Drosophila melanogaster: one gene and its partners. The protein of the gene in region 1 interacts with the protein of each later gene in a biochemical or structural test. Each region holds a gene or a part of one and is shown in the gene's direction. Other genes may lie near its edges. The genes, in order: tamo, msl-1, Ran-like and dl.

Region 1 (7,712 bases):
GTTCACGTGTTTCGTAATTGACAAGAATAAAATTTAAATGTACGCATTTTAATGTCAACTCTGATCCTCCGCCACAATGTCCTGCTTGATGAGAAGCTCCTCCACGTAGCCGTCGATGGGGCAGCTTTTGGCGCAAGTGTAGACGGCCAGGACGCCCCAGTCGAGGTTTTCGTCCTCCAGAAGAGTCAGCGCTTGCGGCATAATCTGAAATTCGAACTGACGCTCTCCTCCGCAAGCAATGCAATTGGGCAGCTTGTTAAGTTGGTCCTCCACCGTTTTGACGGTATTCGTGATCCAGAGGGGCTGGCCTCCACGTTTGTAGCGCACGATCTGATCGGGTTCGGCTGCTGTTTGCTTTTTGAACTGACGAAAGGTCTTGTCATCGGCGGCCGCCGAGTTTCCGAAGTACTTGTCCATCTCCGCCTCGGAAACATTGCTCAAGTCGCCCGTCTTCCCGCTGGACTCCAGCTCCTGGAACTCCGCCAAGCGAGCCTCATCGTCCTTGTCCTCCTCGCCAGACTCCACGGGGTTGCTGTCCATTACAATCTCAAATTCTGGGAAAACGATTTGTGTTAAGGGCTTCTCAGTGGCTACTTCTGGTGCTCCGCAGTTTGGCTTGTGTTGTGGCCAGTGGGCCCTTTGATGCTCTGGTGAGCAGTAGTGGATTGCCTTGCATTTGCTGCAGGCGTGAGGAGCATGGCAACCGCAGGCGGCGCATAGTTTCTTTAGGCAGGGAACGGCGGGCTAAGAAAACATATTATGATGAGTATGTTCTGAAAATATGGCTGCTGTTCCTACCAGGGGTTGACCCACGTCGCTCGGCTCCTCCTCCGAAAAGAACTTATTTTTTCGCGGCAACTGTGACCTGAGGACTGTGAAATTGCTGGAAAGATGGGTAAGATTAGGTTGCAAGTTGGTTTTCAGAGCTAGAAGGGATTACCTTGCATTTTGGGCCTCCTGGCAGTCGGAATTCCGGCACAGGAACACATAGATGGACCGATGAAAGTTGTACTCGTCTTCGAAGGGAGCGTATAGCTGAGCCAGGAAGGATTTGGGTGCCCTGCACTTGCTGCACTGCAGCTGCGACGTGGGCGGCAAGGCCTCCAGTTCCAGCCATGCGGGCTGGCCTCCCAGCTTGCTGGGAAAGTAGCGGTTGCTCAGCCAGGCGCCATTGTCGCTCTTTTCCGCAAATCCCAAGTCAATCTCCATTTCTTTCAATCTCCGAAACGAAACTCGTGTTCAGTGTGACCGCAGCGGGAGCGCCAGAAAATACCTCTACAAATTCCGAAATAACGTTGTATAATAACTGATATTTTCGGGGAATCACACTTTTTGGGTGTTATAATTTAAAATTTAAATTAATTACATTCGTTTAATTTGTTGATTTCGGCAGTTCAATAAAATAAAATATTCTTTTCTTCATTGAATATTTGCGATTACTCTTATAAACATAAGGGGGAAACATAAGATTTTAATTTAATGACATTAATCTGGAAGAATAACAAATCTCATTATCCTGAGCCCTTAAAAATGGCAAGCGGTTCAAAATTATAGAGCGAGGATTAATCAGATAAGGCCCCTCTTCTACGCCACTGATAATAAAGCTTGCATGCCATGGATTTGGTATTTTCCGCGAGTTCCTCCATGGCGATTTCCCAGATTTTGGCCACTTCAGTATGCGGTTATTTCTCACGGTTAAAAGTTCTGCTCTCCGAGTTGATTAAACTGGCTAAAGTGATATTTTATTTACTGTTGTGATAAACGCGTGTGAAAAACAAAGACTTTCCATTGCCCGCGGACACAAACGATCACGAACCGAAGAGTGAACCGCTCAGAAACGGGGGGAAAACCAGTTTTCCCACGATTTGATGTGATTGTGAAAGCGCAACGAGATTTGTCAACGCAAACAAGCAAGAAGAAGAGCCCGTGGATAGCGTAATATTTGTTAATAATAACGGCTGCAAAAACAACAACATTGCGGAAGCAGAATCTCCGACTTGTCGCGTTTCCGTCGCAGCAGCGCTAAAAATAAACCCACCCACGCACCGCCCCCTCTCGAATCGCCAACCACCCACTCCCGCCCACCATCCACCTACCACCACCTTCCGCCCACACCCACGCACGAATTTGGAGAGGTGAACTTGTGTTGACTTTTCCAGCGCGCGGACTTTTCCGAAGAAAAATGCAAAAATGAGAGCCGAGCCACCAGCGGACCACTGGGAATTTGCGTAAGTCCAAGGCGGATGCTTCCTGGTTTCGAATTACAGGGTATCACGTGCGCTGCTGCGAGCTAGTGAACAAGAAGGCACCAGATGTTTGATGGAGTGCACATAGAGAAAAGTTTGTGTAGGAACTATTAGGTGTCCGGTACAGGGTATCTCCGCTTCGATGCCCCTGGCAGTGGCTCGCTTTCTGGCTGCCAAAGAACGAGCCGGGTGAGCTTTTATTTGCTAAATTTAGTGCCGCATTGCTGAAAATAAGAATGGGAGCACCCTGCCATCGGTTGCCGGTAGGCAGACTCATATATATGTATATGTATATGCATAATCGCCCCTGACGGCCAGTGTGTGGTTCGGTGGATCTTTGTCCAGGGCACATGGCCCGAAACTGTTGCATGGCCCATCCTCGTCCTGGCCAATCGATGCCTTCGATGCCGACTTCGACTTGGAGTGCTGCCTGAATCAATAAACGCCTCAAATCCCTGCCATATTGCGTCCATTGTAATGTCAGCACATAAATTCTCTGCCCATCGAGGGGCATTTTCACTCGGCTGCAGGCATTCGGTAGTGGTATGTACGCTATGTGTCCTGGCCAGGCAATAAATATTGAAAATTCAATTAGCAGACGGACGGGCAGCCGAAATGCTATGAATTTATCACCACCTGAGTGCGAATGTGCCTGTGGTACTCATAGTAAATAAGTAACTTCATTGCCATTCGGCCCACTCCACTTGCTCCACCTGCATGCTGGCTATTGATTTTAATCCGCCCTGCAATCATCTTGCTTCATTTGGCCGCTGAATTTATGGGTTCCCACGAAAGCTCCACTTTCTTCGGCCCGCTTTCCCATTTCCCCCACTTCACATTCCCATTCCCACCAACAATGTGTGCTGTTTCGGCGCTGGAAAACATTAATTAAAATTCACTGGACTGGGAAAGCTATCAGTTGCATGCATATTCAATTGATTCATTATTACAGGACATCATACATGTAATGCTCAGCTCATTAATCGGTTGACAGTGCGTTCCTTCGACTGACTGTTTAAATTCCCATTTCAATATTGTTGTTAACTAGTAGTATGTATGTACGTACATATGTACATATGCTTATGTACGACTTGAACCCAAGCAACTAAATAGGAAATTGTCAGTATGTGTAGCGTCGAAATTATTGCATAAGTAAATAAATTATAGAGGATGAGAAGGGAAGTCAGTTTATGTGGCTTGCATAAGTTTGTTTTGATATATTTGATAATTATACGCTTATCACTGCCAATGTTGTTCTCTCCGCACACCGCGTTTATTCGACTCCTCTTGTCACCACTTCGCCGTTTGCTCAGTTGCACTACACTTGTTTATCCACGCCCGCCTTGCTGCTCATTCGCATTCTGATTGGAGCGCCGAACGCCAAGTGAGTCACTCCCCAAGGTTGCTCAGCGTAGTGCCTCTCCGGTGTTCTCAGTATCGAATGCCAAAGGCCAATGGACGATCTCTGGCTCCACGATAGCCGATATCAATATCGAGTTAGCCAGTCAAGTGGCTCGGTTCTCCGGCTGGCGAGGGGGGAGATAAGGGCAAGCGATGCAATCGCGAGGCTTCTGGGTTCCTATCGAGCACTTGTGGGCTTTCCTTCGGGTCAGCGAGCAGATGATACCCAGTTGGGAGTAGTATTTGCCAGGTAAAGCTCATAGATAGTAAAGGGCTGGAGCTTGCTTTCCGGTTATCTATTATCATCACAACAAGTGAGCTCCATTATTGCGCTCACTTTATTTACTCTACTTATTTTCGCGTATATTAGGTAAGCCTGGAAATTGTACATGATTAGCATTTCTGACCTTATGACTCACCGAAGCAAAGCTACGAGCAGCCCCACATTTAGTTGATTTCTATACAATTCGCTATCTTTTATTTCAAAAATAAACCTTAGATTAGATACGCCTTTGCAAATAAACAAAGTATGCTGCAGAGTCTTCCTGGATCTCCACCTAGCAATCATAATAAAGGGCTTCCAGTTGGTTTGAAACCCCATAGATGGACTCTACTTAGTGTTTGGTCATGGTGATAGTTTTAGCTTTGTAATTTCTATTAACAAAAAAAAATTTGTATTTATTGTAAACGAAATCCCCTGAAACAGCTTTTCTCCCAGCCAATGAATCAGCTTCCACTGCATCGGGGAGCACAGTAGACGTAATCACAAGTGAGCTTTTTGTTGTCAACTGTTTTTGTCCGCGAGGGGCAAGTACTGGTTGCTTAGGTGCTCCGCTGGCTGGGAGGAAACTGATAAGGACTCGGGAATGCCACTATCGATGACGGGCCCCAATGGAGCCTATTGTTTGCTCTTATCTGTCCAGTTATTGTTACTCCATTCGAGCCCAGTTGGTTGTTTATTTGTTTGTTTGCTGCATGCCGCGACGGCGTGCGTCATGCGGGGAAGGATGTGATTCTGGTGATTCATGCCAGAGAAGTGCATCCCCACCCAACCCCTGGTGGAAAATCAATAGCCATGGTGGCGCGCTCTGGGCTCTCGAGATGTTCGCCGTAGTGTAACCTTGTGTTCTTGTTTTGCAGGAGCCGGAGGCGCCTTGAATGAGAGTCCTTAGCCCGAGATGTCGGATTTCGTGCCGCACGACCTCATCCCCGATCTGTGGGATGAGATTCTCCGGCGCCACTGGATGTTTCTCGAGACGGAGGAGAGCATAGAGAAGCTCGAGGAACGCAAGCAGCTGGAGGGTGAGTTCGCCGCCTTGTCCTTGTCCTAAATGGAAATGGAACTAATCAATCCGCGCTTACAGGCTGCCTGAAGGAGTTCCTCTGCGTGGTGCAGCACGATCGCAAGTTCTTTCTGCCGGAAACTGGGCATGTCCTGCGGAGGTCTGTGCTCGAGCTGCCCGACTTTTCGGCCCAGAACGCCATCGTAGCCTTCGAGACCATCAGCCAGTATGCCAACAATCTGTTTACGAAGCCATGGCGAAAGGAGTATCGAACTCTCAAGGTGGATATAGGATGATGACGTATACTAAATAGCCACTTCTAACTGAATAATCCTCCTTTCTGCAGACCTATTCGGGATGCTTTCAGCACGACATCCAATCCCGCCTGCTGGACGCCGAACAGCTCTTCCTGGCCATGGGCTATCGCCGGGCTGCCGAGGACACCTTCGTCCTCGAGGGTCCCATCTGTCCGGATCAGGTTACGAATGTTTCGCGCGACGCAATGGCCGCCTACGTGGAGTGCCAGATTATGAAGCACATCTACGCGGGAGTGACGGCAGCGGGATACGTCTGCACTTGGAAGGACATCCTACAGTTCCGCGAGCGTTACGTGGGTGGAACTTCCACGACCATCAAGGAGATGGTCAGGCAGCTGAGTGAGAAACGGGTACGAATGGAGCAGCCACCGATGCAGGAGAATACATATAGCAATGTGGTGAGTGCTGCTCCAACTGCCTGCGGCATGCGCAGCAACAACGTTGCCCATCATCCCAGCAGTTCCGGCACTTGTGCCCTGCATCCCAATGGGCTGAACGAGGCGGGTAAGTATCTGCCGCCTTACCCAGCGCCTCCGCCGCAGCAACCGCACCTGCCTGGTCCGCTGATGACGCATTCTCGCAGCCTGGATCACTACCAGGAACCGCAGGCCCATCTGCCTCACCGTCACTCCTTCGATCAGCAGCTCCAACAGCAGTGCCAGCTGCCGCACGTCTACGAGGCGCCCTATGACTGCTTAGATGGCCTGAGCATGGGCAGCAGTGCGTCCTACGCTGCCGTGACTGGAGCCTACAATGCACCGGGAAACCGCTATCCGCTGCCGTACAACATCTCCAGCCAGCTGAATGCCCCGTATGCGTCGCCCGCCGACTTCTATGGCAATGGACAGCACACCAACATGTACGCCACGCTGGGAAAGACGGGCCCAGCCCACAGCTGCGATTTGCACCGTCGCCAGCCGAACACTTCTGCTGCTGCCGCTGCTGCCTTGGCGGCTATGCAGCACCGTCAGAGCACCTATCCGCCGGATCACCACCTCATCGACTTTGACGAGCGAGCGCATCTGACCCAGCATGACTTTGGGACGCATGACTACGATCCGCAGTATGCCGAGCTGAGAGGTCAGGTGCAGCCTAGCATGCGGGGGAATCCGGTAGCCATGTATGCCACCTACGGGGGCTACGACCTGCCCACCACGCTACCGCAAGCGCCGCCGCCGACCGGCCAGGATATGTACATCTATGCGCGGCCGGTTCCGAAGAGCAGCCGTATGCGGGCTTTGGCCGAGGCGGGTGGCATTAATTCGACTGACAAACATCCGCGATCAGCGGAAAAGCAAGTAAGTTCTAACAACATCATCATACTTATATAATGGTTACATATCGTTGCCTACTCCTTTTAACAGAGCACCATGGACAATAATCGCAAGATGCACAAGGAATTGAAGGAGCGGAATAGTCGGACTGCACCGGCCAAGAGGTCCGGCACTGAACGTGATATACCCACCACCATTTCGGACTTGAACAGTTACGACTCGGCTAGTCTGGACGGATTTGTGGCCCTGGACAGTAGTAGCTCGCCGCCTCTCATGCCCAAAGTGCAGGAGGGTGTCGGCAGTTTCGAGTCCTGGAACTATGTATTCAAGAACCTCGAGCGATCGGGCTACACAAAGGACCTGGGTGACCGCGAGGACTTGCTGGTGCAGAGCTTGGACCTAGGCTCGCTGTCCATAACGAACGGCGGTGCAGCTCCTCCGGCGGAGAAGCGCCGTGAGGCCACGAATCCCACAAACGGAGAGAAGGCGCGAACGCTAGATAAAAAATCCGGTACGGGGCGACGCGAGGCTAAGGTGGTGCAAGCTCCTGCACCCAGTCCTCTGCCCAATAGCAGCAGTGCCGGCGTTAAGAAGGTCAAGTCCGCCTTGAAGACGGCCGTCGTGGACAATCGGGGAACCGGGTCAAGGCAACGCACAGGAGCTGTGCCCAAGCAGCCGCCGAATGTGTCTCCCCAGCTGATTGTGACCAGTCCGAACGAGTGGAGCTGCAGCTTCTGCACGTTCCTCAATCCGGACACGAAGCGCATCTGCGAGATGTGCTGCCGCAGCAAGGACTTCAACCTGGAGGCCGCATCGGCGGCTTCCTCCTCGGCGGCTGCAGCTGCGGCGTCAGCGGCCAGTGTGTCGCACGCATCCTCGACCTGCGTGTAGGATGCAGTGGATGCAACGGAACCCTCGTTAGTGATACAAACAGTGTATAGCTTCATATATTTTTTATACGACCAATGTAAGCCTGTGCGCGTGTCTCTAAGATCTAGTCTCGATCGAAGTCGTCGTTCGATGGCAGGCAGCCCTTTGTCATCCGCATTCGGCTCCTTGGATGAGCGGATGGCGCTGCAGACGGGATGGGTCTGCAGTCTGTACATACGAAGTATTCTAATTAGTTACCCCTACTCGTAAACACACGCTTTAATTAGTTTTAGATTGTTTCCCATTGTTAAGGGCGCTTCT
Region 2 (7,309 bases), on another chromosome or scaffold:
AAGCTCCACTTCTGTCGAAGGTCGCATTTACACCGGAGTACGGCGTGGACATTACAGCATTGCCGCGGGAGAATGACGGAGTAGCCAGCGTGCTGTTACTGGAAGCAGTAGACATTTTCCACTGCTGCGGGCTGGGAGGCGCCAGCCTGGACATGGCAATCTGTTCACCTAGCAGGGCGTCGAACTCATCAAAGGGTTCATCGCCGGCACCTTCCTGTTGCTCATCCTGCGCCTCCTCCAGGGCCTCCGCTTCGTGGGCGCGCATCTGCTCCAGCTGACCGAGTCGATATCGCGCCATGTGCACTTGGAGGGGTTTCTTCTTGCCCAGCCGTTCGATATTGTTAAGCACATCGTCAAAGGTGTAGGTGGGATACATACGATGGCCCCAGTGCTGCAGGCGGCGAAGCACCTCGTCGAGATCGGTTTTCTCGTAACCCTTGCCCTTGAATTTGATGTCCTTAAAATAATCTTCGATGGTCTGGATGCCACGAGGACCTCGAAGTGTTTCCACAGTGAGTCGCGGTCGGGGATTTCTCACAGCTCGCTTCTTAGGCTCCACTATCTGGGCATCCTGGCTACCAGGTTCTACGCCGTTGTCCTCGTCGTCCGCAAACAGCTTTTCGCCTTCGCCATCGCTGGGCAGCTGATCCGGGTCAGTCGGAATGTTGTCATTGAATAGGTCATCCACACCATCATCTCCGAACAGGGATGCCATAGAACTAGTGGCCGAAACTTAAATACCAAATAAACAATCTAACAAAATTTTGGCGCCAATTTTTGTTCTTCTTCTCTATCTACCATTCACAGGCGACGCTTGCATAAGTCACAGGGGGCTGCCAACTGAACAGCTCTTTGTTCTTTTAATTTTCCGATTACATAACTATTTGGTCTTTCCCAAAGGCTATTTTGATTTGCTTAGACATATTTTCATTAGTGGGTGGCACTAAAGGTAATTTGTACAGCCAACCCGGCTTTTGCATTGGTGGCAGCAGACATAAGAGATGGCAGCGTGACACGTTTTTTTTATCACTAAGCGACACATTGGCGTCACGAGTTTTTGTTATTCTATTATATTTATACCATTATACAAGGAAGGATAATTCATCCAAAGATTGTAGTTATTTAAATTTAGTGAAATATTTAAAAGGAGTTGGTAATGTAATAAAATTACCAAAAAAAATAAAATAAAATCAATACATTATTAGCTAGCTAGTTTCTTTTTCATCTATTTTCTCATTCCAATTACTCATACCACATAAAAATTGAAAATAATTATCCGGGGAGCAACGGAAGATTATTATTTACGTTGAGAGAAACTGTCCTCTTTTAACTGCTATCCTTGTGGTCTGGCAGAGTAAGAAATAAAAATGTGTTTAACGACATTTAGTCGGAGTTGACGAGCTGCCGCTCTTTATTCTGGTAACTGCAAATTTAAGCTGAAACTTAAAATGATTCTTAAAGCTAACAAAGACTCCGGCCCAATGCTGTCTCAGCACTTTGATATTATGTTTCATACACTAAGCCAACTGTACTAGTTCGTCGGCTCGTGTTAACTTAGCTATTAGCTATTATGTGCAACAAAGTACAGTTTCGTGAAAATATTTTCACTTCGTGACTGTCGTGCTCAGCTCGTGCATCGCAGCAAATTGCCATCTCTATGCCCCCAATCAACTCTGCGCTTTGGCGAAAAGTGGCAACGCCAGCAAAACGCCATACTTTTAAGAGCATTTTCGGGGCGACTTTACATTGTGAGGACAATTGTGGAAAAAGCGGTGAAAGAACGTTCAAAAACGAACCGAAAAACTGCTGCCTAAATGCGGTCACCACGTGCGATAAGAACGCCACGTTTAAAACGATAAATCCATTAGATTCTGGCCAAGAAAAGAGCGGTTCTTTTGCGAGGGCGAGCAAGGAAAATTTAGTGTGGTGCGAAATTGTAATCGGGATTCTACGCATTGTACGGCGTATCAGCTGAAGAGATTGTGTGCACCCCAAGCGACGCAAACAAAACCAAAACAAAACAAAAACATTTGGAGAATTATGAGATCGTAGGACCGACGGCACGGGATTCAATTCGACTGCCATGGACAAGCGATTCAAGTGGCCGCCCAAAAAGCGGGCCAACTACTTGGAATCGCCCTATCCCCACATACCGTCGCGTGGCCGCCAAAGGAATCTGCACGGCCATCCCAATCAGACGCAGCATCTTCATCAGCATCCCGGGAAGATCTATGAGCGCCAGCAATATGGCAATGGTCGTGGAGGACATGGCGGGGGTAATAACAACTACCGAAAGCTTTTGCATTCGCTGCCAGCTGAGCATGGTGGCGGAGCCATGGCTCCTCCTTCCTCCGGCGGAACCGTGTGTGCCGGCGCCGATATGGTCAAGCTCATCTCGGAGAACAACAACCTGAGGCGCATGGTTATGTTGAACTTAAACCTGATGCAGGAGCAGACGGACAGCATAGCGGCCAAGGACAAGGAGCTGGACGACCAAAGCGCTAAGATGAGCGTGGTGAAGGCGCAGAATGAGGAATTAAAGCAGGCCGTTGCTCAGTTGGAGGCCGCCAACCAGGAACTATGCAAACAGCTGCGGCGAAAGAACCAGCGAAGGAACGACAATGACGACGACGACGATGATCCCCCACTGCCACCTGCTGCCCCGCAGCAGAAGTTGATACGTTGTCATGCTGAGACGCAAACTGTGTTTCGGGAGCGGGAACAGGGCACACAAACGATAGATGCGCAGCCTCAATTCGCGAATGCACTTCCCAGGGGTATCAACATGAAGGAGTCTCCCGCTCTGGACCATCACGCTGGAGCGGTAACGAATCAGCCAGCCAGCAAACGCTCGGAGAGCAAAGGCCGCGGTGAATTCAACGGTAAAAAGGTGAGCACGTTTATTCTCCAGCGCATGAATCAGGACTTCGAGCACCACATCCACGAGCAAACGGAAGTAGCAGAGGAGCACGAGATGGAGGCACATAAGGAGCAAATATCTCAGGAAGAGGACCAACTGGTCGCTGAGGAAGATCATCTGCATATGCAAGAAGTGCACACCGAGGAAGTCGTTGGAGGCGATATCTTTCATGATGCTTTGGAATCAATTGAAATGGAAGTGGTCACCGAAGAGCTGGTTGATATGGAGGAGCATGGACAGTCCGTGGATGCCAACGGCCATATCGAGGAGGATGATGACGAGGACGACGAAGATGACGAGAATAGTGATAAAGACGATGACAGTGAAGAGGATGATTATCCGTGGATGCATAGCGATGCGGATGTAAACGCCAGAACTGAGGAAGAGCTCTGGCAGAATCAGGTATGTTTAATGTTATTATTTAATTAAAAGAATATATCGAGCAATCCTTTACTCTTTCAGAATTACCTTTTGGAATTGGACCCGACGGAGGAGAAGACCTGTGCGCCTTCGGCCCATTCAACTCCCAATCACCAGCAGAAGTCTTCGACACAGGCAGAGATAAGGAAAGAAGGAAATCAGAATCGGATAACTGAAAAGTTGTTGCAACTAAAGCCTGAGCCAATGGTAGATGCATTAGAAGCGCCGATTCTCCCGAAGTGGGTGGCTTTTAAGAAAAAGGATAAGGAACATGAATCAGTCCCCGAGTCCCCAGAAGTACCCAAGCAGCAGCCGCATCAGGAAGATGCCATCGTTGATCATAATGCAATAAAGAATCAGTTGGAAGTTCCCAAGCCGGACTTAAAACCGAAGGACCAGCCCAAAGACGAACAGAGGCAGGATGGGCAGCTGGATGTTCGCGTGGAACCACAAGAGGATGTTCGTAAGGTACAGAAGGAAACTCTGAAAAGGCAACCAGAGGATGCACCTAAGCACCTTCCGAAAGCGGTAGCCCCAAAGGTTACGAAAACATCCTCTCGAGAAAGCACGTTGCCCAAGGCAAACACCGCTGACATAAAAGACGCTCCCGCTCAAAAAGTAATAGCCAACCATCAGTCCACCAAGACGCAAACGGATCCTGTAAAAACGCAGCGTTTGCAGGTTAAGATCAGGCAGTATGAAATGCATCCTGACATGAGAACCGGCTCCTCCGCCCCGTCTGATATTCGGAAACAAAAGAACGTTGATCCAGTTTCGACGCCCGAGACGAAAACCATTAAAAGTAAAAGTATGTTGGTCAATGATAAAAAGACCACGTCGGAAACGTCTCAGAGCCCAGATCAAGAAATAGATGTGGAAACAGTTAGAAGAAAACTGGCGGAACATTTAAAAAAGGAGCTCCTAAGCCAGAGTCATTCGTCACAGGTTACGCTCAAGAAAATAAGAGAGAGAGTCGCCACAAATCTAATATATCCACCACCCAGTGCACCAGTATCCTCAACAACAATAACCCCAGCGCCTACGCCGTCAACGACACCAACGCCTGGCTCAACGCCACAGCATGCGGTTACATCCTCAATGGACCAGGAAATATCTGCAGCAAAATCGAAATCCAAGGCAGCTGAACAAATAGCAACTCCTCTGACACCTCAATCTAATAGCAGTGTTAGCAGCACCACTTCGACTATCCGAAAAACGCTAAACAACTGTTCACCCCACACGTACAGCAAGGCAACGGCGAGATCGGGAAAACTGCAGTCCAGATTCCGCACTGCCACGTTTCCGTACAGCACGAGAACGTGGGAGGATCAGGAGTTCCACTGTGACAACGAGTTCTTCCTGGAGGAGGCCGACGAGCTGCTGGCGGATAACCCTAGTCTGGAGATACCCAAGTGGCGGGATGTCCCAGTGCCACCCAGTTCGGATAAAATTGACACAGAATTACTGAGCGATGCGACCTTCGAGCGCCGGCACCAGAAATATGTGAAGGATGAGGTCGATCGAAAGTGTAGGGATGCACGTTATATGAAGGAGCAGATACGGCTTGAACAGCTTCGGATGCGACGGAACCAAGACGAGGTGTTGGTTGCGCTGGATCCTCTGCGCGCCTCCACTTTCTACCCGCTGCCCGAGGACATAGAGGCCATCCAATTCGTCAACGAGGTGACAGTTCAGGCATTCGGCGAAAACGTGGTCAACATGGAGGCGCGGGATGATTTCGGTGTGCCTTGGGTGGATGCAATCGAAGCGCCAACCTCCATAGCCAGGTCCAAGGCACTGGCTGAGCCGGTGGCAACGTTGGCTAGCAAAAAAATACCCACCACTGCTGCCGAGGCGAGGCATCAAGAAAATCACTCCTCCTACGTGTTTCCCAAGCGACGCAAGCGCCAGAAGAATCGTTAGCCAGGAAACGCCTGGGGGATCTGATACTGGAGCTAAGCAGAAGACTGTCGGTTGGGGGAAGTCGTTGCGTTTGACATACTAATGATTTTCAGTTTTAAATCATGAATTATTTCTTAAGCTTAACGTGAAAGCACCAGAGTTAACAGTAACGATTACCACAGATCGTCTAGAAGTCAAATAATCCAGAGCAGACGATGTTTATTGTATATATGGTTCCTCAACTGTCCGTTTTTATTTGTGTAATAAAATGAACGGAACGCTGAATTCTGGAACATTAGAAATTCTTTGTTATAGAATCTATAAATTTATGTCAAAGTTTTGTCGTTTCTTATGCGATGAGAGATCTTAAAAGGCAAGTAAATTGAGCTGTCCTATTCAAACATTTTTCTATTAAATTGTTATCATATTTATTTCCTTGAAATATAAATAATTCGATCTTATATTAGATGTAAATGAATCCAAATGTTCGTCGCCTGGTCTGGAAATGATTAGTTTTTAGTTAACGTCTTGCAATTGAAAAGAGTTTCACCCTTGCTTGTTTCCAATGTACGTAAATTACTTAGTCCCACACAGCATGTAATTCAAACCAGTCGCTTAGTTAGATTGGTTAACTCATCTCAGCTTTATCACCTTTAAAATCGCCCGCACTAAAGTGATAAGAACACGAAAGATATTCACATAAGTTATATTGGGCATTTTTTTGGAGAAAAACAATGAAATTCGTAGACTTATATTTTTAAATATTTTTTTTCTTTAGCCCTTATAACCATTTTTTTTGTCTTTGTTTATACTGTTATATCTGTCGATTCTCGAATGCAGACAACGTGTGTGTTGCAAAGAGTTACTCAGGTATATCTCTGATAATTTGTCTTTTTTTTTAGGATTTGATTGTGTAAAAATTGAGTGCGAGTGGTTGTCTGCTTCGAGTAATCAAATTATACATTGGATCTATTGTTTTATTTTATTAACTTCATTAAACTTGTTTTATGTTGTATCGAACAAGAAAGGCCGTTAAGATGAAAACTAGATTTGAAGAATAAATATAAAACTGATTCCCGAACTGCACACCCGTTTGGCCTTATGGGCACCATGTATTTTTGGCTAAATATTGTTTCGTTTAACACTTCTTCTGTTTGACTTTCTGTCGCAATGATATGGAGCCTGCCAACGTCCGGAGAAATCAAATCACCAGCTCGCTTTCGAGTGGCGTCTTATTTTTGTACATTTCGATAGGTGTAAAGTCGGTTACTTGTAATATAGCGTTAAGTAGGCACTGTACCCAAACGCATAGAGATAATTATAATGTAACAAAGTAAATACGATACGATGTACATTGTCCAGGAAAAGGAGGAGCGGAGGGTGGATGAACTTCGTTCAACACCATTTTACACCATTCAATGTAATTAGCGTTAAATAGTTCAATTTACTGAAGCTTCAACTAAAAATCAATTCGAAATTAATTGCCACCATTGTAGAGCCCTAAACAAACTCACCTACTGTAAGAATAAATGTACTACATACAATGTATTTGTATTTGTTTAACAAGTTTTATTGTAAAGATAACGATAATAATATACAGGATAAAGTAAATTGTAAAGCAACGAAATGCAATCAATACTTGGACTTGCAACTTATTTTGCACAGGTGATATGTAAATGAAATTCTAATAATTGACAATGGGTTTATTTAACAGGCCTCAATTGATTTTCCAATGACCTGGCATCGCTTGCTTCTGGTTTCCTTAGATGTCTTTTTGTTTGCGATCATCTCGATATAAACTTGTTTAGGGGCTAATTGCAAATGTATTTAATATCTTAGAAAATGCTTCATTATACTCTATATATTGGCTGTGACAATTTTATCTGACCCTCGTTACCTAATGGAAAACATAACATACAAAATCTTCAACAACCAGAATAGCTGGATTGAAAATCAGTTAAAATACCTTTAAAAAACGGAAAAGCCTAACGGAATTTTATATTATTTATTGCTCTGCGTCAAGTACTGGTGTCCAGTGCTTGCCCACAGCTCATCAATATCGTCAAA
Region 3 (3,105 bases), on another chromosome or scaffold:
ACGGCTTAAACCTATTGACTGGAAATTTTAATATGTTATTTATTTACAATTAACGCCCCAGCAAATGCCTTCGTGTACAACTGGGCGTATGATTTATGGCATTCTCGGCCCCCTAGCAATTGTAACTATTGTTGAATGCAATTTCCTTTTGTTTGCGATTGTAAATATATATATATATATACATACATATGTACATATAAAATTGTGCGTGTAACAGTTGCCTCTCGTAAATTACAGGTTTAAGGATTTCGGGCGGGGTGTGTGTGTCAATTTTAAAAGCCAAAATCTTTGGTCGAAGGGGTTTTTGGGGTTGGATTGAAGTTGAAAATGAAATTATTTATGATTCTCATTTGATGCGACAGCTTTTGCCCAACACGAACTGTGTACCGAAAATGGGTTGTTGTATGATGCCAAGTGGAATCAAATAATGGGTATAGTTTAAGAGGGTGTAGTTGATCAATTTGCAAATATTACTTGGATTTCATTACGAATTAGGAAGCATTTCTCCAATAGAAGTTAAATAAAAATGAATTATACTATAGTAATTGTTCACATCGTATTTTAACTGCTGTTTTTCATTCTAGCACCAAAATAAAATGTTATATGGTTTATATATCTATAATCGATCTACATAGCTCGCTGTTTTCTGTTATTTGAAAGCGTATTGAAATTCTGTTTTGTAACATTAAGCTTTTCCCATTGTTGCTATTTAAACTATTTTATTTTTGCATCTTAAATTACAATACCGTTTTATTGTTAAAGAATCCCGAAAATCAACAAAAGCCAAAAATTAATATGCAGGCATATAAAGAGTGATTTGATCAAAATCTTAAAGTAAAGCTAATTTACTCTAAATATAACCGCTCTTATTCCAATAATATGTATAATATATATCATATCATATTTATTCAAAACAAACCATCATAAATGGGTTTTTTTTATATTTGTAGTTCTGCATCTGGCATTTTAGATTACATTCAAGCTTTTCATAATTTCCCCGACTTCCCTGAACTGCCACTAAAATTGTTTTATAGTTTTGTCCTTTAAATCCTGCAGCATCTTGCAATGCTTTCAGTTCTCCGAACACTGTATGTATCCCTGTTCCTTGTGCACAAACTCACTCCCATATTTTAATTTGTTAATTACTTAGTTGCCTTGTTGGTAGAGGAAGAGGCTGTACATTCATATACGGATTAACTGCCATCCTGGCTAAGTAATCAGCATATAGTTATATATGAAGCGATACAGCCAGGTTAGTAACTAATTAAACCCTGAACTTAGTTTTGCGTACTGTTATTTTACTGGTCGAAAAGTCTGCAGATGGCTAAAACTCATGTTAAACCGACGAGTGGATATTAAACATTTATAAAAATTAACTGATTAATTTTAATAAAAAAAATATAAAATGTATACATACATGCAATACATTTTTAAGAGTCTTTAAGTACCGAAAGATTTCAAACATATTTTCCTCGTGAAACAGATCATCGCAACTTTTTCCTTGACATTTTTTCTGCACAAAGTAGGTTCGGATATATAAGTATGTGTTTCGTCTCAAAAACTTTCAATATTACACAAACCGCTGGCAGGATAGGTTCAATACAAATTAATAAAACAAAAATATTAAGTTTTGTCGATCATGCAACCTCAAGAGGAAGTGAAGGCCATTTTCAAGCTGATTCTAATCGGAGACGGGGGAACTGGGAAAACCACATTGGTCAAGCGACATCTGACCGGCGAGTTCAAGATGCAATACAATGCGACCTTGGGTGTGGAGGTCGAGCAATTACTGTTTAACACCAACAGAGGAGTTTTCCGCATCGATGTTTGGGACACTGCCGGTCAGGAGAGGTACGGTGGCCTGCGCGATGGGTACTTCGTCCAATCACAATGTGCCATAATAATGTTCGATGTGGCCTCGTCAAATACATATAATAATGTGAAAAGATGGCACCGCGACTTGGTGAGAGTATGCGGCAACATACCGATTGTCATTTGTGGCAACAAGGTGGATATCATGCATAAAAAGACTTGGAAAAAGGGTGTTGACTTTGATCGCAAGACAAACATTTACCTCATTGAAATGTCCGCAAAGTCGAACTATAACGTGGAGAAGCCATTCGTCTATCTATTGCGAAAATTGGTGGGTGATCCCAGCCTGCAGTTAGTCCAGAGCCCCGCTATACAGCCCCCAAAAGTTGTTTTTACCGACGAGATGAGCCGTCAAGTGGAAAGCTTATTCAATGAGGCCAAATCCAAACCTCTGCCCACTATTTACGATATTGATCTGTAAAGATCAATATCATGATCATGATTAGTGTTCTTTCAAAATTTTCATATTCTGCAAGTGCAACGATGATCTTTGCTTACTTTGTGCCCATGGATGAAGACATTCAGCTGAAGTACTTAATAATTTTTAAATTTCTAAATTTCTAAATTCCGATTGTTTTCGAAGATTCTAATTTTTTTTTTGTAATGGACGTAAATTTCAAAAATTCAATGGTGTAAAATTGCAGGCTCGGATTTATATTTCTAAAAGACTAATGTATCCCACTATATCTGTTATTTAAATATATAGATAGATGTAATAGATACTACATTTAAATTTAAATAAACTTTTATAATTTAAACGGCTTCATAAGTTTTTGACCCATATGTTAAAAAATGCAGAAAAATCGATTCGATTTCATTAAGTTCTGCGCATTGTTCTGCTGCAAATTGAAGGATCCTGGCCAATTTCGGGGGCTCCAAATAAACCGCTCCTTCAGTGGGGATTCATTTTAAGCCCGGGGAGTCCACGCTCGCTTCGTAGCCATCTACATTACCCATACCAGTGCACATAAGCGCTTAATGAGTATAAATGAGCTTGATTGCATATTCCAAGGCGCTGGCGGACCCATCCTTGTGCTTCTGTGTGTGCGAGCTGTTTTTTAATAGCCTGCATATGGCGTTGTAAAAGTTTTCATTACACAAACAGCAGCAGTGGCAGCAACTACAATTTACCGGCAACAAGAGCAGCAACAACAGCAGGCGCAGCAGCAGTGGCAGCAGCAACAACAACAACTTATTGGCCTGACTTTTAAGCGCATTTAACACACGGCGTAT
Region 4 (4,563 bases), on another chromosome or scaffold:
CTTAGCTCACGTGCACTTATGTATGTATGTATGTTTACCAGGTGGCATGACCTTCGTGCCAGTGTGGTTTTGATAACGATTTACGATAATGGCGGAAAGTCCTTTTTTATGCATATGTACGTAGTATTGGGAAGAACTTAAGCATGTGGATTTTGTGTCACCGACCATCCAACTTTAATTAATATTATTTTTATTCTTATTTACTTATAAATTTTTCACAGTAATAAAATAGGAACATTTAGTACTTATTTGTAATTTTGTCATGAAATTATAAAAATACTACCTGGTTCTTTCGCATGTATTTCAAACTGATAATATTTCGTTTTCCAAATAATGTGACAATTATATTTTCTATTCATCGTTCATATTTAATAATTTGGTTTAATTAGCTGAAAAACCCAAAACATAAAAATCCTTATCTAACGTGCGACCACTTTTTAAGCGATGTATTCAATTATCAACTGTACTGACCCCCATTTCCCCAGAAGGTGAATCAGCAATATTATCAAATTCCGCGTAACAAGCCGTCTTGAATGTCAGAGGTCCTCCGCCCGGAAAGTGAAAGCTGCTCCGGAATGCTGAGCACGAAGCAAGTGAGTCACGGCATTGAGACTCTGCCGCAGTGGAAATTAATGCCACAACAAATGCCGGCGCAGGATATTATCCTTTTTCCAGGAATCGTACGCTGATTCAGACCCCCCAACCGCATGGGTGGGAGTGGGGTCTTAAATGGATAGCTCGCAGCCACACACACAGATAGTTAGTGCTCACCGTGCTGTTTCATTCATAAAAGCTGAAAAAGCTTTTCGGAGGCAGTCGCTCGTGGAGATGAGTCACATGTGAAAGACACTGAGATAAATGACGGAAGTTATTTTTTCCATTTATATTTTACTTTTCGTAAATATGCATATATAGTTGGAATATTCGGCTATTTAAACGAATCTCACATTGAAAATCGAATTCTTGATGATTGGTTACCATACAGTTGAATTCTCAATATTTAAGAAAAACAAAATATTTATATTTTCCGATTCCTTTGGGATGCTCCTAATAAAAAGATATGCATTTTCAATTAATTAGGTATTCCTTCAATATAATACGTGTTATAGATTTAAAAGGTGACACATTTTAAAAGCTTTTGAAAGAAACAACTGGCCTGCATTCCTACTAATCGGTATCAGTCAGATAAAAACATTTATATTATATGTATGTATATATTGTTTCGCCTTTATGCAATCATCGCGTATTCCTCGAAACTCGGATTTGTGGAAGATGTGGACATCTGTAAGCTATAAGTCGCAAGTGGAAAACTTCAATCGTACGTGACTCAGCACATGCTGATCTCGCACTCTTCGCCAAGCTAGGCTCTTCGGATTGTCTCTCTTCTGAGCTTAAGTCGAGACTGCAAAGAGCAGAGCTTGGGGCCGACTACTTAACTCCGTTGAAAGCTTCGCGATCTGCAAGTTTTGCGGTATTTTTCAGTGGCGCATACGGTATTGAAAGTTTGGCTCGCCTGTTTCTTCTTGGTGGGCAGTTAGTGTTCAAATCGCGGGCGTCGAGATCGGTTGGTAGTGCGTGTGTTACGGGTATTTTATCTCCACCTCCAAATTGTGCCTTATTTACCTTTTTCGCTGTGCTTTAAGCTTCCGCTCTCTTTCGCTCTTCTGGAGCTCGAAGGCAGGTTGAAATACCAGTAGATAAAAATAAAACGAAAAGTAAAAGAGCTGCATAAAAACGCATAAATTCAATTGAGCTCTAAGCAAGTTTCACTTGCTTTTTCGTATTACGAGTGACAAAAAAAAGAGACCCACCAATATAACGGAGGAAAAAACAAAAATAAAAAACTCGGCGCACGTATTGATAATTTCTATTAAAACTGAACGTTTACCGATTAGATTACACGGCACATCGACACTTTAACCACAAACATCGCAAGAATAACCAAAGAAAATGGAGGGCAGAGCGCGATAACAAATTACCCTAAATTATAAATCGAATAAATCGAAAAACAAAAACAAAAGGTAGTCGTACGTCGATGATCGCATAAGCATAAAGCCCGGAATTCCCTAGAAAAAATCGACGTCACGCGCTCTCTCGCGCTCTTTGCCCACTCTCTCTTTCTTCGGACTTCGATTTCTTAACTTTTCATTAGTTTCTGTTCGAACTGTTCTCCCCCATCCGTTGTTTTTGTCGTTATTATCGATATTATCGCACCCGCTTTGTGCGCGCGCAAAAGTTAAAAAAGAATAAAATAAGAAGAATCAGAAAGAGAGAGAGAGAGAGAGTGAGTGAGAAAGGGAGGGAAGAATAAATTATTTATATATAAAAAATAATAAATAAACCGGTTCCTGCCGTGCGTGCTTGTGTATGTGTTAACATTAACATGAAAAAAGCGCCATATTTCTCAACTATAAATAAATGGCTTATTTAGCTCGCTGTGCAACGGACTAATTTTCCAATTAACACAATAAGAAACTTAACAAATAATGTACATAAAAGTGTACTAATTGGTTCGCGTTGAATTTCAGGTGTCCGATTTACTTAGCAAACCCAGTGATATCAATGCATATAAGCGAGATTTCAGATCACTCCTTGACTTAGGTGAGTCCCCCTATAGAGCCTAGCTTAATTTATTGATTCTGAACATTGATTGCACGGATTAATAAAGTGCGGTGGAAAATCCTAATGGCTGCGTTTTGCGAGAAGGGTCTTGATATTTTAATAAATATGTACACAACTATTGCTTCCAAAGACGCAAAATGTCATTACAAAGAAACGCATCTTGCATTAAACATATTAAAAATATAACCTTATTGAGTCATTGGACGCCTTATCGTTTCGGAACAATGTTTACAGCAACAACATCGTGATTTATCAACCATTATTCACACTTTTAAGGTTTGATAAACCAAGACTGGTCACTTTTCTCGCATATTAATATTTTTCATCCTAAATAGTTTTAACATTTTGACAATGTTTAAAATTCCTGGATGCTAAGATTTGTAATAGCTCACAATTTCTGCATGACAAATAATAGTTAAGATGTTAAAAAAAAACTATTAGAACGTATTCAATCCTTTGTAGTGTAACCGCAGTTGTTGTTGTTGTGTTTTTTGGGTGGCAATTATCCACCTGCGTATTAAATAATCTACGGTGAATGCAAACGATAAACTTAAATAATACAACCGAAACACCTGTGTACATGGCAGCGCAGTCGCAGTGGCTTTTCGACGTCGCCATAAATGAAAGTTTCTTACGGGCACGTGGGTGGGCGAGGGGGGCCGTGGGGCCCAGAGGGGGTGGGGCTCGTGGAAAAGCTTTTGCCCCTTGTATTTATTTATTTTTTGCTGCCACTCAAATACGCCGGAGAGGTTTTCAATTGTTTCATTCTAAGATCGACTCGATGCGCCTGCGGTCGTGTTTGCGCTAACATTCTTTTATTTTTATTAAATATTTTTAAAATTCCCTAACGGTTCGATATTATTTTTAAGTAATAATTTGAAAAGTACCATTTTGAAAGAACAAACTGCGGTTAGTGTGCGTTTTGTGGCCCAAATAAAAGCAAAAAGTGAAACCGAATTCGTCATGAGTGTTCACTGGTTCTTGGTTTGATTCGCAGGTAATTATGAAGAATGAAGAAATGCTTTTAGCTGCTAATACGGTGTAAACTCGAAAAGTGCAACCAAGTTAAATGCAAACCGTGTGCTGACTCATAACATCAGACTCTCGTCTCCGGGACCAAAGAAAATCAAAGCGCTAAAATCGCTCAACTCGTTTCCAGCAAGTCATCGGCGATTTACAAAGCTCGAGTAGAGATTTGTGTGCTAACAGAGATCTAAGGCCAAGTCAATAGATAATATTGGTTATATCTACTGGTAGTTTCCCCGTATGCTAAATCCGAGTCATGATTGATACACGATCTGGCTGTGGGTAAGGCCCTCCGCTATGCAAATCATCAATCAATAGGGATTCTATTTTAGGCGAATATCATTTAAACCACTCGATAAGAAAGATCGTGGCCGTTATAATTGGAGATACGGATAAGATATGTATCTGCATTTTTGCCGGAAGTCACATGTGCACAATAATCCCTGATCGGCTAATTTAACAAACATTGTTTGGTGTGGAAAATAAGGATAATGGACTTGTATTCATACGATACAAAACATAGCTTTTGGCAACTAGTTCCATCGATTTGTCAGCATATCGGTTATTTATTTTTATTTGAGCTGTAAATTGCTTGACGCCAACGATCGTTAAAAAACATTTGTCTGTCTGGAGTTCTTGTTTTTTTTTTTTTTGCGGAACCCGTTTCACTGAGGAATTTTTGGCTGCTTCTGATGCTTTGATGTTGATCTTAATCTTAATTTGTGGTGCTGGCGCCAAAAGAACTTTTTTCTGTGTGTCTTTGCTATTGGAAATTGCATAAAATTAGCATGTTAAATGATCGAAACGAAATGTTCATTTTATTTTGTTTACTTACCTTTTTTTTTTATTTTTCGCCAAAAGTAGTTATCGTTGAACGAGTAGAACGTTATTTTATTAATTCATTTTATGGCTTAA

The links.
Region 2: the proteins of tamo (region 1) and msl-1 form a complex in vitro, tested with the Drosophila melanogaster proteins (one study listed by BioGRID).
Region 3: the proteins of tamo (region 1) and Ran-like form a complex in vitro, tested with the Drosophila melanogaster proteins (one study listed by BioGRID).
Region 4: the proteins of tamo (region 1) and dl form a complex in vitro, tested with the Drosophila melanogaster proteins (one study listed by BioGRID).

Annotation. Positions count from the first base shown.
Region 1 is NT_033778.4:24,127,513-24,135,224, reverse strand, and holds the start of tamo (tamo), read left to right. Parts: upstream 1-1,673; 5' UTR 1,674-2,228; intron 2,229-3,385; exon of another isoform or gene 3,386-3,630; intron 3,631-4,787; 5' UTR 4,788-4,825; coding exon 4,826-4,949; intron 4,950-5,011; coding exon 5,012-5,211; intron 5,212-5,276; coding exon 5,277-6,545; intron 6,546-6,611; coding exon 6,612-7,412; 3' UTR 7,413-7,712. Other genes in the region: Zfrp8 (zinc finger protein RP-8), read right to left, coding at 55-744, 799-883, 941-1,209. UniProt on the Drosophila melanogaster protein: Has an essential role during oogenesis and embryogenesis, perhaps in modulating the levels of nuclear import of additional proteins. Modulates the nuclear import of dorsal (dl), Dif and male specific lethal 1 (msl-1).
Region 2 is NT_033779.5:18,683,200-18,690,508, reverse strand, and holds msl-1 (male-specific lethal 1), read left to right. Parts: upstream 1-1,708; 5' UTR 1,709-2,083; coding exon 2,084-3,322; intron 3,323-3,382; coding exon 3,383-5,263; 3' UTR 5,264-6,789; downstream 6,790-7,309. Other genes in the region: CG10336 (uncharacterized protein), read right to left, coding at 1-715; CG31751 (uncharacterized protein), read right to left, coding at 7,244-7,309. UniProt on the Drosophila melanogaster protein: Component of the male-specific lethal (MSL) histone acetyltransferase complex, a multiprotein complex essential for elevating transcription of the single X chromosome in the male (X chromosome dosage compensation).
Region 3 is NT_037436.4:15,483,893-15,486,997, reverse strand, and holds Ran-like (Ran-like), read left to right. Parts: upstream 1-1,595; 5' UTR 1,596-1,639; coding exon 1,640-2,293; 3' UTR 2,294-2,602; downstream 2,603-3,105.
Region 4 is NT_033779.5:17,447,334-17,451,896, reverse strand, and holds the start of dl (dorsal), read left to right. Parts: upstream 1-1,532; 5' UTR 1,533-2,021; intron 2,022-2,528; 5' UTR 2,529-2,601; intron 2,602-3,386; exon of another isoform or gene 3,387-3,619; intron 3,620-4,563. UniProt on the Drosophila melanogaster protein: Embryonic developmental transcription factor. The lateral or ventral identity of a cell depends upon the concentration of this protein in its nucleus during the blastoderm stage.